2 linked regions of the Arabidopsis thaliana genome follow. The protein of the gene in region 2 interacts with the protein of the main gene of each other region in a pairwise test. Each region holds a gene or a part of one and is shown on either strand. Other genes may lie near its edges.

The links.
Region 1: the proteins of RAB8C (region 2) and PIP5K2 interact in a two-hybrid assay, tested with the Arabidopsis thaliana proteins (one study listed by BioGRID).

Annotation. Positions count from the first base shown.
Region 1 is NC_003070.9:29,218,665-29,224,954, reverse strand, and holds PIP5K2 (phosphatidylinositol-4-phosphate 5-kinase 2), read right to left. Parts: upstream 4,607-6,290; 5' UTR 4,324-4,606; coding exon 3,221-4,323; intron 3,139-3,220; coding exon 2,974-3,138; intron 2,860-2,973; coding exon 2,694-2,859; intron 2,538-2,693; coding exon 2,427-2,537; intron 2,346-2,426; coding exon 2,152-2,345; intron 2,058-2,151; coding exon 1,927-2,057; intron 1,844-1,926; coding exon 1,750-1,843; intron 1,395-1,749; coding exon 1,094-1,394; 3' UTR 529-1,093; downstream 1-528.
Region 2 is NC_003076.8:881,772-885,961, reverse strand, and holds RAB8C (RAB GTPase homolog 8C), read right to left. Parts: upstream 2,652-4,190; 5' UTR 2,284-2,651; coding exon 2,211-2,283; intron 1,969-2,210; coding exon 1,896-1,968; coding exon of another isoform or gene 1,892-1,895; intron 1,818-1,891; coding exon 1,717-1,817; intron 1,573-1,716; coding exon 1,507-1,572; intron 1,404-1,506; coding exon 1,306-1,403; intron 1,230-1,305; coding exon 1,167-1,229; intron 1,083-1,166; coding exon 990-1,082; intron 888-989; coding exon 804-887; 3' UTR 511-803; downstream 1-510. Other genes in the region: RABC2A (RAB GTPase homolog C2A), read left to right, coding at 1-29, 111-221. UniProt on the Arabidopsis thaliana protein: Involved in membrane trafficking from the Golgi to the plasma membrane.

The DNA of each region.
Region 1 (6,290 bases), on a different chromosome or scaffold from region 2:
AAAGATACATGTTGTGGTAAAGACTTACTGATTAGAAGATATAAATAAGTCAACATACACATCAATATTTTACTTGCTCATCAACAAAACCCATACTCTAAAATTATATAAAATTAAGATTAATTAAATATGAAAAAGTAAGGGTAATGTGAGATGTTTATAAAAGAATACATGTGGTCTTCTCTCTTTGCTTTCTCTCCTTTTCATGGGAAACACAACCTCAATTCCAACCTCTCTCTCTCTACTTTTTTGACCATAGTATATGTTTATGTACTTTTTTTTTTTGTAAATAAATCATAGTAACATCATGTCAAATCCTTAATATATCTAACATACTACTATTCTTTTTTCTTCCTATATATTTATGTATAGGCATATCAGTGGTCGATTTATTTTCCACATATGAACAACTATCATCAGAAATACCTGATTATTTTCCATATACAATTTGAGAAATTTTATACTACTACATACCAAATATGTTAAACACAAACATGTGACTAAAAATAGAGTTTGAATAAAATTTGGCAAAGTATCTTTAGACGTGAAAAGGATGGTGAAGAAGAAGAGGGATCCCATGGGAATATGGGACCTCTTTTGATAAAATCTTTAGCTTTTTCTTTTGTCTCAATTTTAAAAAATACTTCATCCATCACAAAATGAACTCTAAACAAATAAAAAGACATTGGGAAATTATATAGCAAATGGGAATAAAATAAAACACCCATCCTATTCATTAATCTTGTACACTTATCTTATTCCCAATGCATTTCCAAATCTGCCAAACCCATTTTTTTTTTCTCTAAGCCTATGTACTTTTCTTCTCCTTCACAAATCTATATTCACATATGACATATATCTTCCTCTCACCCTCCAAAACAAAAATAAGTAATCCCCCACCCAAAATTTGTTTGATCAGTTCATTCTCAAATATTATAATTGAAAAAATCCCAAATCAATTTCCGCCCTTCTTCAATTACCCTTTTGCCCCTAATGCCGCAGGGTCTTCAAGCCTCTTTTTTATCTGAGGTATAAAGCGAGGAGCTTAGGTTTGACCTTTCAATGATGGGGCTAATATAAGTAGACCTTCATTTTAGCCGTCTTCGATGAAGATTCTGCTGATGAAATCTCTAAACCTTCTTGAGTATAGTTTGGGATCAACGGCAGAGATTGAAGCCGGGTCAGCTTGTAGAGACTTGTAAGCATGCTCGATCTTCTTGCTTATGTCGTAATCTTGTAAAATGTCAATGATTCCAAAATATAGAACCACTTCGTAGACCTCTCCATGAGATTGGTAGTTGGTCCCTCCTGAGGAATACTGATCATAGTCGCTTCTTCTCGCCATTCGTTCTGCTCTTGCAGGCATGTTTGCGCCTAATCGAATCAATGGTTTCCTGCAAAAGCAATCAAATTTTCAGCAAAACGTTGAGAGTTTTAACTATGGATAAAGAGTTGATTGATCTCTAATAACTAGTTTAATTAACAACAAAAAAGGACCACATGATCTGTCTTGCCCCCACAATATCATTGTGTTTTTCTATTCAATTGAGAGCCCCCACAAGATTGCCAAGCAACTTTTTAATACAATAATGCTTAGAGATGTAAGGTAGTTCTCATATGAAATCACACCTACACGATTGAACCACTCTCTGTCACAGCAATTACCAATGACTATGAGTTGTTAGGTCAACTTCTTGTGCTAGAGATTAAACCTGAGGTAATGATTGGTGAGAATAAATATTCACGTACCTGCCAGCTAAAATGCGGTCCATGTCTTGAAGTTCCGCCTCCAAGAACCGACAACCACGCATAAATTTTTCGCTTTGGTATGACTCTATCTTACCTGCACAATACATGAATGAATATCATCCAAATGGGCGAGTTACACAGAATAATACTTGAGGAAGAACGAGAAGTTTAACTGACCAGATCTCAATACAAATGGAGATAACCCCATTTTGTCTCCTGTGTTGTCATCACGGAAGTGAACGCCAACCAAAAGACTATAATCCATTATTCTTTCAGCTTCCAAGAACTCACAGTCGCGTTTAATTTGCCTGGTAAATGAAATCCAGTCAGCTGAGCAAAGTGTTTGCACTCAAACAGCCAAATTAAATAAAGAATAAGACTAGATGGAATTTGGCAGCTTACGTCATAAGCTCTTGGTACCAATTTCTCTGAAGACGGAAAGCAAAATTGAGATCAAGGTCCTTAAGAGTAGTGGTCTCATCAATTTCCCCTTCAGGTTTGGAGGTATACCGTCCATGGGAAGACCCTTTAAGGTCAAACCTTCTCTGGATTCTATATTCGGAGCAGAACAAGTTCCCCATAACGATAAACCGAGTCTGGTAAGATGGCAAACAATATGAGAAAAATTGTCCATTGGAAACAAAGAGTCTTATGAAATGTAGATGAACAACACAAACCTTCTGGCCACCAACAGGTTTGATACAATGCACACCATAGAACCTAGTCACAAGTGTATTTTCATACTGGCAGACGTGTTTGTAGTAACTTGGAAGCATTCGTAGAAGCACCTGGATAAAGAAAACAAAAAACTTCAGGTCAAAATTATTTAGGTAACCACACTTAGTGGACAAAATGATTAAGAATGTAAAGTGAAAGCTAAGAAACAATAATACAAAGGAAATCAAATAGGACAGAAGAAGTCAAGACAAAAGCCAACGACTAACCTTGACTTCAGATTTCTTCACCGTCTTGATCATAAATCTGTCATCTTGAGTTAAGTAAAAAAAGCTTCCACTCTTTCCAGGCGAAGACAATTCCCTAAGGGCATCGTTTCCACAGATAGCTAGCATGTAATCGGCAGGATCCACCGTGAATAGCTCCCTAAGCCGTCTAACAAAAGAATAAACCAAAGGAGACATATTAATCCCAAACCCAGATAGTGTGCAGACATCACCAAACTATGCAGAATCAAATAAACAGCATATAAATGAAAAGATTGAATACCTAAACACCAAAGGGCAATAGTCCTTCCAGCGGAAATCCACAGATAGATGCGGTGGTGTGGTCTTAGAACCCTCCGGTGGGAACCTTGTCCAGAACTTTTCACTTGGGTCAAAATCACTCTGTTTGAGATCTCGAACAACGGAAGCGTGTTTGCCGACAGAGTACCTAAAAATTCACAACTTGGTTAGAAAAACACAGATCCAGAAACTCTCCAAACATTGGGATCCTCAAGCTTCTAAGAAGTTACCTAATTCCATGCTGCAGGTTGAGCATCAAATCATATTTCTTATGCCCTTTAGATATCGTCTCTCCAGGTTTCTTAGCCTCACCGCTGAAACAACAAGGATTCTTCCTAAACTGACGAAACCCATCTTTATCAATAGAAATCCTATCTCTGTATATCACAGAAGCTTCCACATTATCAACAATATCACAAGTAATATCCCCAGCTTCTCCATCAGACTCCCAAATACATATCCTAGGGAAAATCTTCTCCCCAGTCAAACTTCCAGCGCCACTATCAACCGAAGATCTCTTCCTAGTCGCAACAATCAACTCATTCTTCTCAATCCCATCAAAGAAATTCCTCATGAGATTACTACTCTCATTCCAAGAACCAATCCACGAACTTCCATCAGCCCAAGTAAACACACCACTTCCTTTAGGAACACCATTTTCCCATTGACCTTCATATCTATTCCCATTAGGCCAAGCAAGCACACCTTTACCACATATCACACCATTTCTCCACTCTCCTGTATACTGATTCCCATTCATCCAAACATATCTCCCTCTCCCATCCTGAAGATTCCGCCGCCATGTACCTTCATAGTAATCTCCGTTGGCATATCTCTTCTGACCATGACCTTGTTTCCGATCAGCAACCCAAGAGCCACGATAAGTATCACCATCAACACCAACAAAAGTCCCAGATCCTTCCATTCTCCCAGATTTGAACTCTCCTTCATAAGTCGCACCACTCGGCCACGAAAACTTGCCTTTACCACTCGCTTTACCACGTTTCCACTCGCCTTCGTACATACACCCATCCTTCCACAAATACTTACCGGATCCGTTGGGAAACCCGCCGGAAAACGTTCCCATGTAGAGATCTCCGTTTGGTAACGGTTTCTCCACGTCAACAGGAGGTGGCGTGGGAGTGACGCGCCGAGTAGTTCCTTGAGATTTCGATCGTACCATCGGCGTTAAAGCTAGTAACAACAAATCGTCTCTTCTCTCTTCCGTTTTTTCTTCGTCTCCTCGTCTCTTACACAACTTCGTCTTCTCCACTAGTAAAACTTCAGTAGCTTCTTCTTCTTCTTCTTCGCTAACAAGCGGTTCACGCATCATCTACTCATCAGAGAAACCCTAGCTTCTTAGTCTTCTTCTTCCTCTCTACTCTTCAACACAATCTTCGAAATGGCATTCGATTACGGATTAGGGTGAAGGAAGAAGCGAAATCGAAATGAAAATTCTTCAGATAGAGAAGAAACTTTCTAAATCTGAGAAGAAACCTAAACGTTGGAGAGAGATTCCTAGAAACGCTACAGAGGAAAAAAAAGAAAAGAGAGAATGAAGCATCAAAAGAAAAAGGATAAAGAGACAGAGCAAAAGAGAGAAGCAGAGAAATAAATAAAAAGCTTTAATATTGGGTAGGGTAAAATAGTAAAATTCAATTAAAGTTGCAGTAACCATCGGGAAGTGGACACAAAAAGCCCACCAGCCCTAAAAATGTTAATACTAAACAGATGTTAACTTTAATCACATTGTTATGACCAATGTTTTGACTTCACTAAACAGATGTTAATACTATAATAGAACAGCATTCAAAATTTTCTTTAAAATGGGTAAAACTTCCAAAATCTTGAAAAAAAGACAGTAATCACCTGACCGGATTACTATATGTGTACTTTTCAGTTTTAGTTTAAATATATGTAATCAGAGTAATTAGGAGGAACAAAACTATTAGAATAGGGAAATTTTCTTTTTCCTTGTGGTTATATATGGAAATGAATCATTTGTTTCACTATTTTCTGCTGAATTTGTTTTTACTCCTCATTTTCTTTATTTTGTGATAAACATAGAGGAAATTCAATTAAAAGGAAAAACAAAACTTTAATAGATCATAAACAACTTGTCAAGGGCCAATATCTTCTTTCCACTAAAAATCTTCATATTTGAATTTAGAACAAAAAAAAAGAAGTAACACGATTAGCCACATATAAATAATCAAACATGTATATTGCGTTGTTGATAACTTGAAAATATGAATACGTTATATGTTAACAGCGTTTAAAAGTTGAACATATGAAATCTAGGAATGTGACATATTGGCTACCATTAACCATTTTAGAGATTGGTTTGAGAATTGGTCTATGATCTATTTCGGTATAACAAAAAGGTCACTATCGTTTACATGTGAACTCATCACAAAACAAAAAAAATCCGGCAAGTTTGATGTATACGTGCTCGTTTACTCGTCGACACGCATTTAAGCGTGCGTGTAAAAATTAACGAATTCTGTTTTGGTTACTCTGATTTTTTCAGAAGCAAATTGCAGTTAGAAACTTCGTCGACCGCTTTTCATCATTGAAATTTGTTTAAACTATAGTTATTGTTAGAATAAAGGTAAATTCACCTAACGGTTTTGTAAGAGTGAATTTACTACTAGTACTATTTAGTAACGTTAAAAAACAAAAGGACTCAAGCGATCGACACATTTGATTGAGCCTATATAGACTATAGTAATTCTTAAATATATTTATAATATTTTAGAAAAGGTGTACCGGCGTGCACTACGTTGTATGGATTTAATGTGATACCCACGTAAAAGACCAAATGATTAGTTATGTTTATCTCCTTCTTTAAAAAAAAACTATACTAGTACTAATCCAAATTAATTGTATCTGTATATTAACTGTGATCGACCATCAACTATAATCGTCATCGCGAATGAAATTAAGTAATGAACCAGGTGATAATGTTTTGTAACCACATGATGATATTTTTTTAAGAAATTGTTCTACTGTGTGGCTTTTATTATGTCACGTTCGTCGGTCGGTATTCAAAGTTTCAGTTCTTCTACAGTTGATATTCAATTTAATTCGTTGAATCTATCTTAGATTAACTCGCTAGTTATTCATTTTGATATCGTGTGAATATGTGATTAATATACTATACGAATATAGAAGTGTAACATACATAACACGTACAGTCGTATGGTTGAATCCCAATTAATCTAATGGAAAGTTATTGACTTCTTTTGTAGAGTATACATTATTTTGCCTCGATCTAATCATATAAGAAGCTGTCATTAA
Region 2 (4,190 bases):
AACAGTGTTTCGAAGAGTTGGCTTTGAAGGTAAAGATCCTTAAATCTGTTTAAAAAAACGATTCGAAAAGAGAGATTCATATATAACATAGAGTGAATGTGATGAAACAGATAATGGAGGTACCTAGTCTCTTGGAAGAAGGATCAAGTGCTGTGAAGAGAAACATCTTGAAGCAGAAACCAGAACACCAGACTAATACTCAATCCGGCTGTTGCAGCTAGTGACCCTAGTCGATGTTGCATATAAAATACTCGAATCTTTATCTTGTGTATTGCAAACTGAACCTGATTCTTCTCTCTGTGGTTGCCTCTTTTGTGTGTAGAACATAATGTAGCTTCAATGTAAATTTGTGGGATTACTTGTATTCTTCTTTTGCTTCTGAAATGAGATTTGTGATAATAACATCATATAATAGAATAAACCCCATCAAGTGTTTTCTTAAATCCGTGTTTATTTTGGCTCAAACTATGGTTCTAGTAGAGAACAGCATTCACAGTGAATAAGATAAATCCTGATTTGAACAGTGAAGTCAGAGGTATACACACTACAACAGTTTCATTTTTATAAATTCAAAGTCTTTTTCACATAGTTTTTTGACCAACATAGTCTTCCATATCAGGAAGATCATTGTACAGGAATTATGGAGATAACAAATTAGACATAAAGATCACAACCATCAATGAGATTTCCTACTCGTTCTAGGTAACAACATGAGAATTATCTCTGATTTGAGACGTAAGAGATGAAAAAGATGGCCAGATATTTAAAAAACCCGGTGCAGGCGAAAAAGAGCAATCATACTCCTAAACGTAACTACAGCAAGCTGACTTCTCGGCTGTAGAAGACGATGCGGCAGTATCTTGTTTAGTGATCTTGATGCCTTGGGGCTGCAAAGTAACAAGAACAGTACATATGTTTATTACTCAGCTAAAATGTCGGTATAAGAATATGAAGATCGAGTATTAATGGTTGATTCCTGCAGTTCTTACCTCTGCCTTCGTGTCGGTTTCTGTCAATCTTTGTTTTATGTCTTTTGCGATTGACATGAAAACATTTTCGACATTGAGGTTTGTTTTTGCACTCTGCAACAATTGTAATCACATTAGTAACCTCAAGAGCATATTAATGAAAAACAGCAGACATGTTCTGTTTTTTATCTAGCTCACCGTCTCAAAGAATTTGATTCCATACTCATCAGCCAAAGCTTGGCCCTTTGCTGTTGGAACAGCCTGAACAAGAAGATCACAAATCAGTACACTATAATTAAACTCTTGAAAGTAAAGTATGCAACTAAAGATTACTTACCCTTTTGCTTTCATCCATATCAGCTTTGTTACCAACCAATATTTTGTTGACATTATCTGAGGCATGTTGCTCAATGTTCTTCATCCAGTTCCTAATATCTGTTTGAAACAGTCGTGTTCAGTTGCCACAAGTCTCACAATCCGATTTTCTCAATGCCATTGCAAAACAGTAACAAGACGAACAGAGAAGTAAAATACATACTGTTAAAAGATGACTCATCCGTTACATCGTAGACAAGCAATATACCCATCGCTCCCCTGTAATACGCTGCAAGGCAAAAAAAAGGGACCAAATGCTTTAAAGGAAATTGCAAAAACAAATTAATTGTCTTTTACTTCATCAAGACAAGACTGAAGAATCAATCAACCGATTCAATTAGTAGCAAACAACGTTAAAAATCCAGCTTATTACCTGTAGTGATAGTTCTGAAACGTTCTTGACCAGCAGTGTCCCAAATCTGCAATTTGATACGCTTCCCATCAAGTTCAACAGTTCTTATCTTGAAGTCAATACTGTAAAAAACACAAACTTAGACAACAAACAACAACAACATTTAAGACAAATCTTGAAGTAAACAGCAGAAGACATACCCAATGGTAGTAATGAAACTTGTAGTGAAAGTATCATCTGAGAATCGAAGTAACAAACAACTCTTCCCCACACCTGAAACATAAATATACACATAAAGCTAAAACAAACCATTTAACACAAAAAGAAGTAAATTTGTCAACGAATTCAACAATCTCTACTACTATTAGTAATTAGCACAAACAAAACAAAATCATAAAACCCTAATTAAGATCGGAAAAAAACAGACATGAGATAATCTCAGAAGATGAAATCAAACACTTTTGAGTTTTTTCAATTGCTAATTTGAGAACACATAAATGGATAAAGAAGCTAACCGCTATCGCCGATGAGAAGAAGCTTGATGAGGTAATCATAGTCTGAACGAGCTCTTGCCGGCGCAACCGCCATCGTCAGAAACGAGAAAAAAGCTCACTGACTTATTGATCTCTTTGCTTCTCGTGAAAAAACTAAACCCAGCTCTGCTTCTTCTTCTTCTTTTTTCCGACGAAAGATTGAAAATTTATTTTCTGGAGACAGCAAAAAAGCTAATGGAATGCTTCCTTCCAAAATGTCGCTCGCTGAAGAAAACAAGTTGATTAGCTGCTGAAAAATATTATTTTCATGTTTTTATAGTTTTTAGCCTCGAAACTTTCAATAGTTACAATTGACCCCACAACTAATTTGATTGTGGGATGAACTTATTAAGTTCTCAACTAAGAGGTTTCTAATCCGGTTTACACCTAGAATCCGACAAGAAATTGGATGGAAAATGAGAGATTTTTTGTTTCTTCACAACAAAACGTAAATCAAACCATTTAACTACAAAAATGATAAATAACTCAATTTCCGTAAATTTGTTATAAATTACTCAATTAGAATTGAAACTAAATCAAACTAAACCAAACAAAACAAAAAAAATATCAAACCAAACCAGATAATATTTGTCTTTTTTCTTTAAGAACTGGTTTAAATACTCGTTTCTACTTATCTAGGACTAGAGATTGCTTAATGGTTTAAATGAACAAAAGTCAAAATTTATAAATGATAGAGTGAATGGAGTAATATAAATGATTGGGGTGATTGTATGACATTTAGGAAAGTTCAGGGGGAAGAGGTAAAGGTAGGTTTGATATGATCAAGTGCGGTTGGTCTACAGTACACTAGTAGAATAATGTCGTTTATGGTGAGCTGTCAAGCAGTAAGTGGGTGAAAACGGTTGCTTCGCTGTATATACGTCGTACACTAGCGTAATCCAGCAAAGTATCCAGTCATGCCAGAGTCTCTGTTACATGTGGCATGGTTCAAGAAAAAGTCAAATTATATATTCATCCACACATATCTCTTAATCAAATTTAAGTCTTTATTAATTTGATGTTTATTTTTTTAATAATCCACTATCTATATACATTGATAAACATATTCTTACGAATTCAACATTGAATTTGTCACGCCTCTTTGCGTAAAATGATGTATAAACGCAGTATAAGAATTTATTTTCAAGATAATTCATAATAGTGAAACATAATTATTTTATCCCACCCAAGTGAATGAGTAATCGTTGTCAATTACACTACATGGGCTCGATGTTTTGTTTTATTACAAATGTAGATAGACATTTTGTAATTGTATATCTATTAAAATGCGACAAGGACAGCATTAGTTACAAGTCTCACCGACGTTTTTTTTTCAAAATGAACTAAACGTAGTGCTATTACTTTAAATGGATAAAACAGTTTGAGGGTACCACTCTCGTTTTCAATTTTATGTTCTGAGCTTTTCGATCGGAGCGATTATGGTTTTTCTGTCAACAATTTTTAGTGGAGATAAAAGGCATTATATATAATCCAATGTATTTGTAGAAGACATCGTTAATCACAGTATCACTTTTCCTATCAATCGTTTTCAAATGTCCTTTATTTCTATTTAAATGTTAGGAATATTCATTCGTTTTGTTAGTAGTAAGAAGTTGCACTTTCTCTACATATCATGTTCTTATTTTCAAAAGAAAGATATAGATGAGTCATTGAGTCATAAACTATATAAAGACATGACATGATCGATATAGAGATACCATTATACCATTAACAGTACGTAGCGTAGTAATAGCTCCTATTTCTAGAAGATGTTGTAGCATATATCATATCAATAAGTTTGTAACAGTTTACTGTTAGTTTCCCATACTACATAACATGATCATGAAGATTCGTTTGTTGCTACATGAATGTCTTGTGATATATGTCCAAAATCTCAAGACATCGGTCAGTATATTATCGTATTTTCTAGTGAAAAACACATTCGATAATAAAAAAATTCGA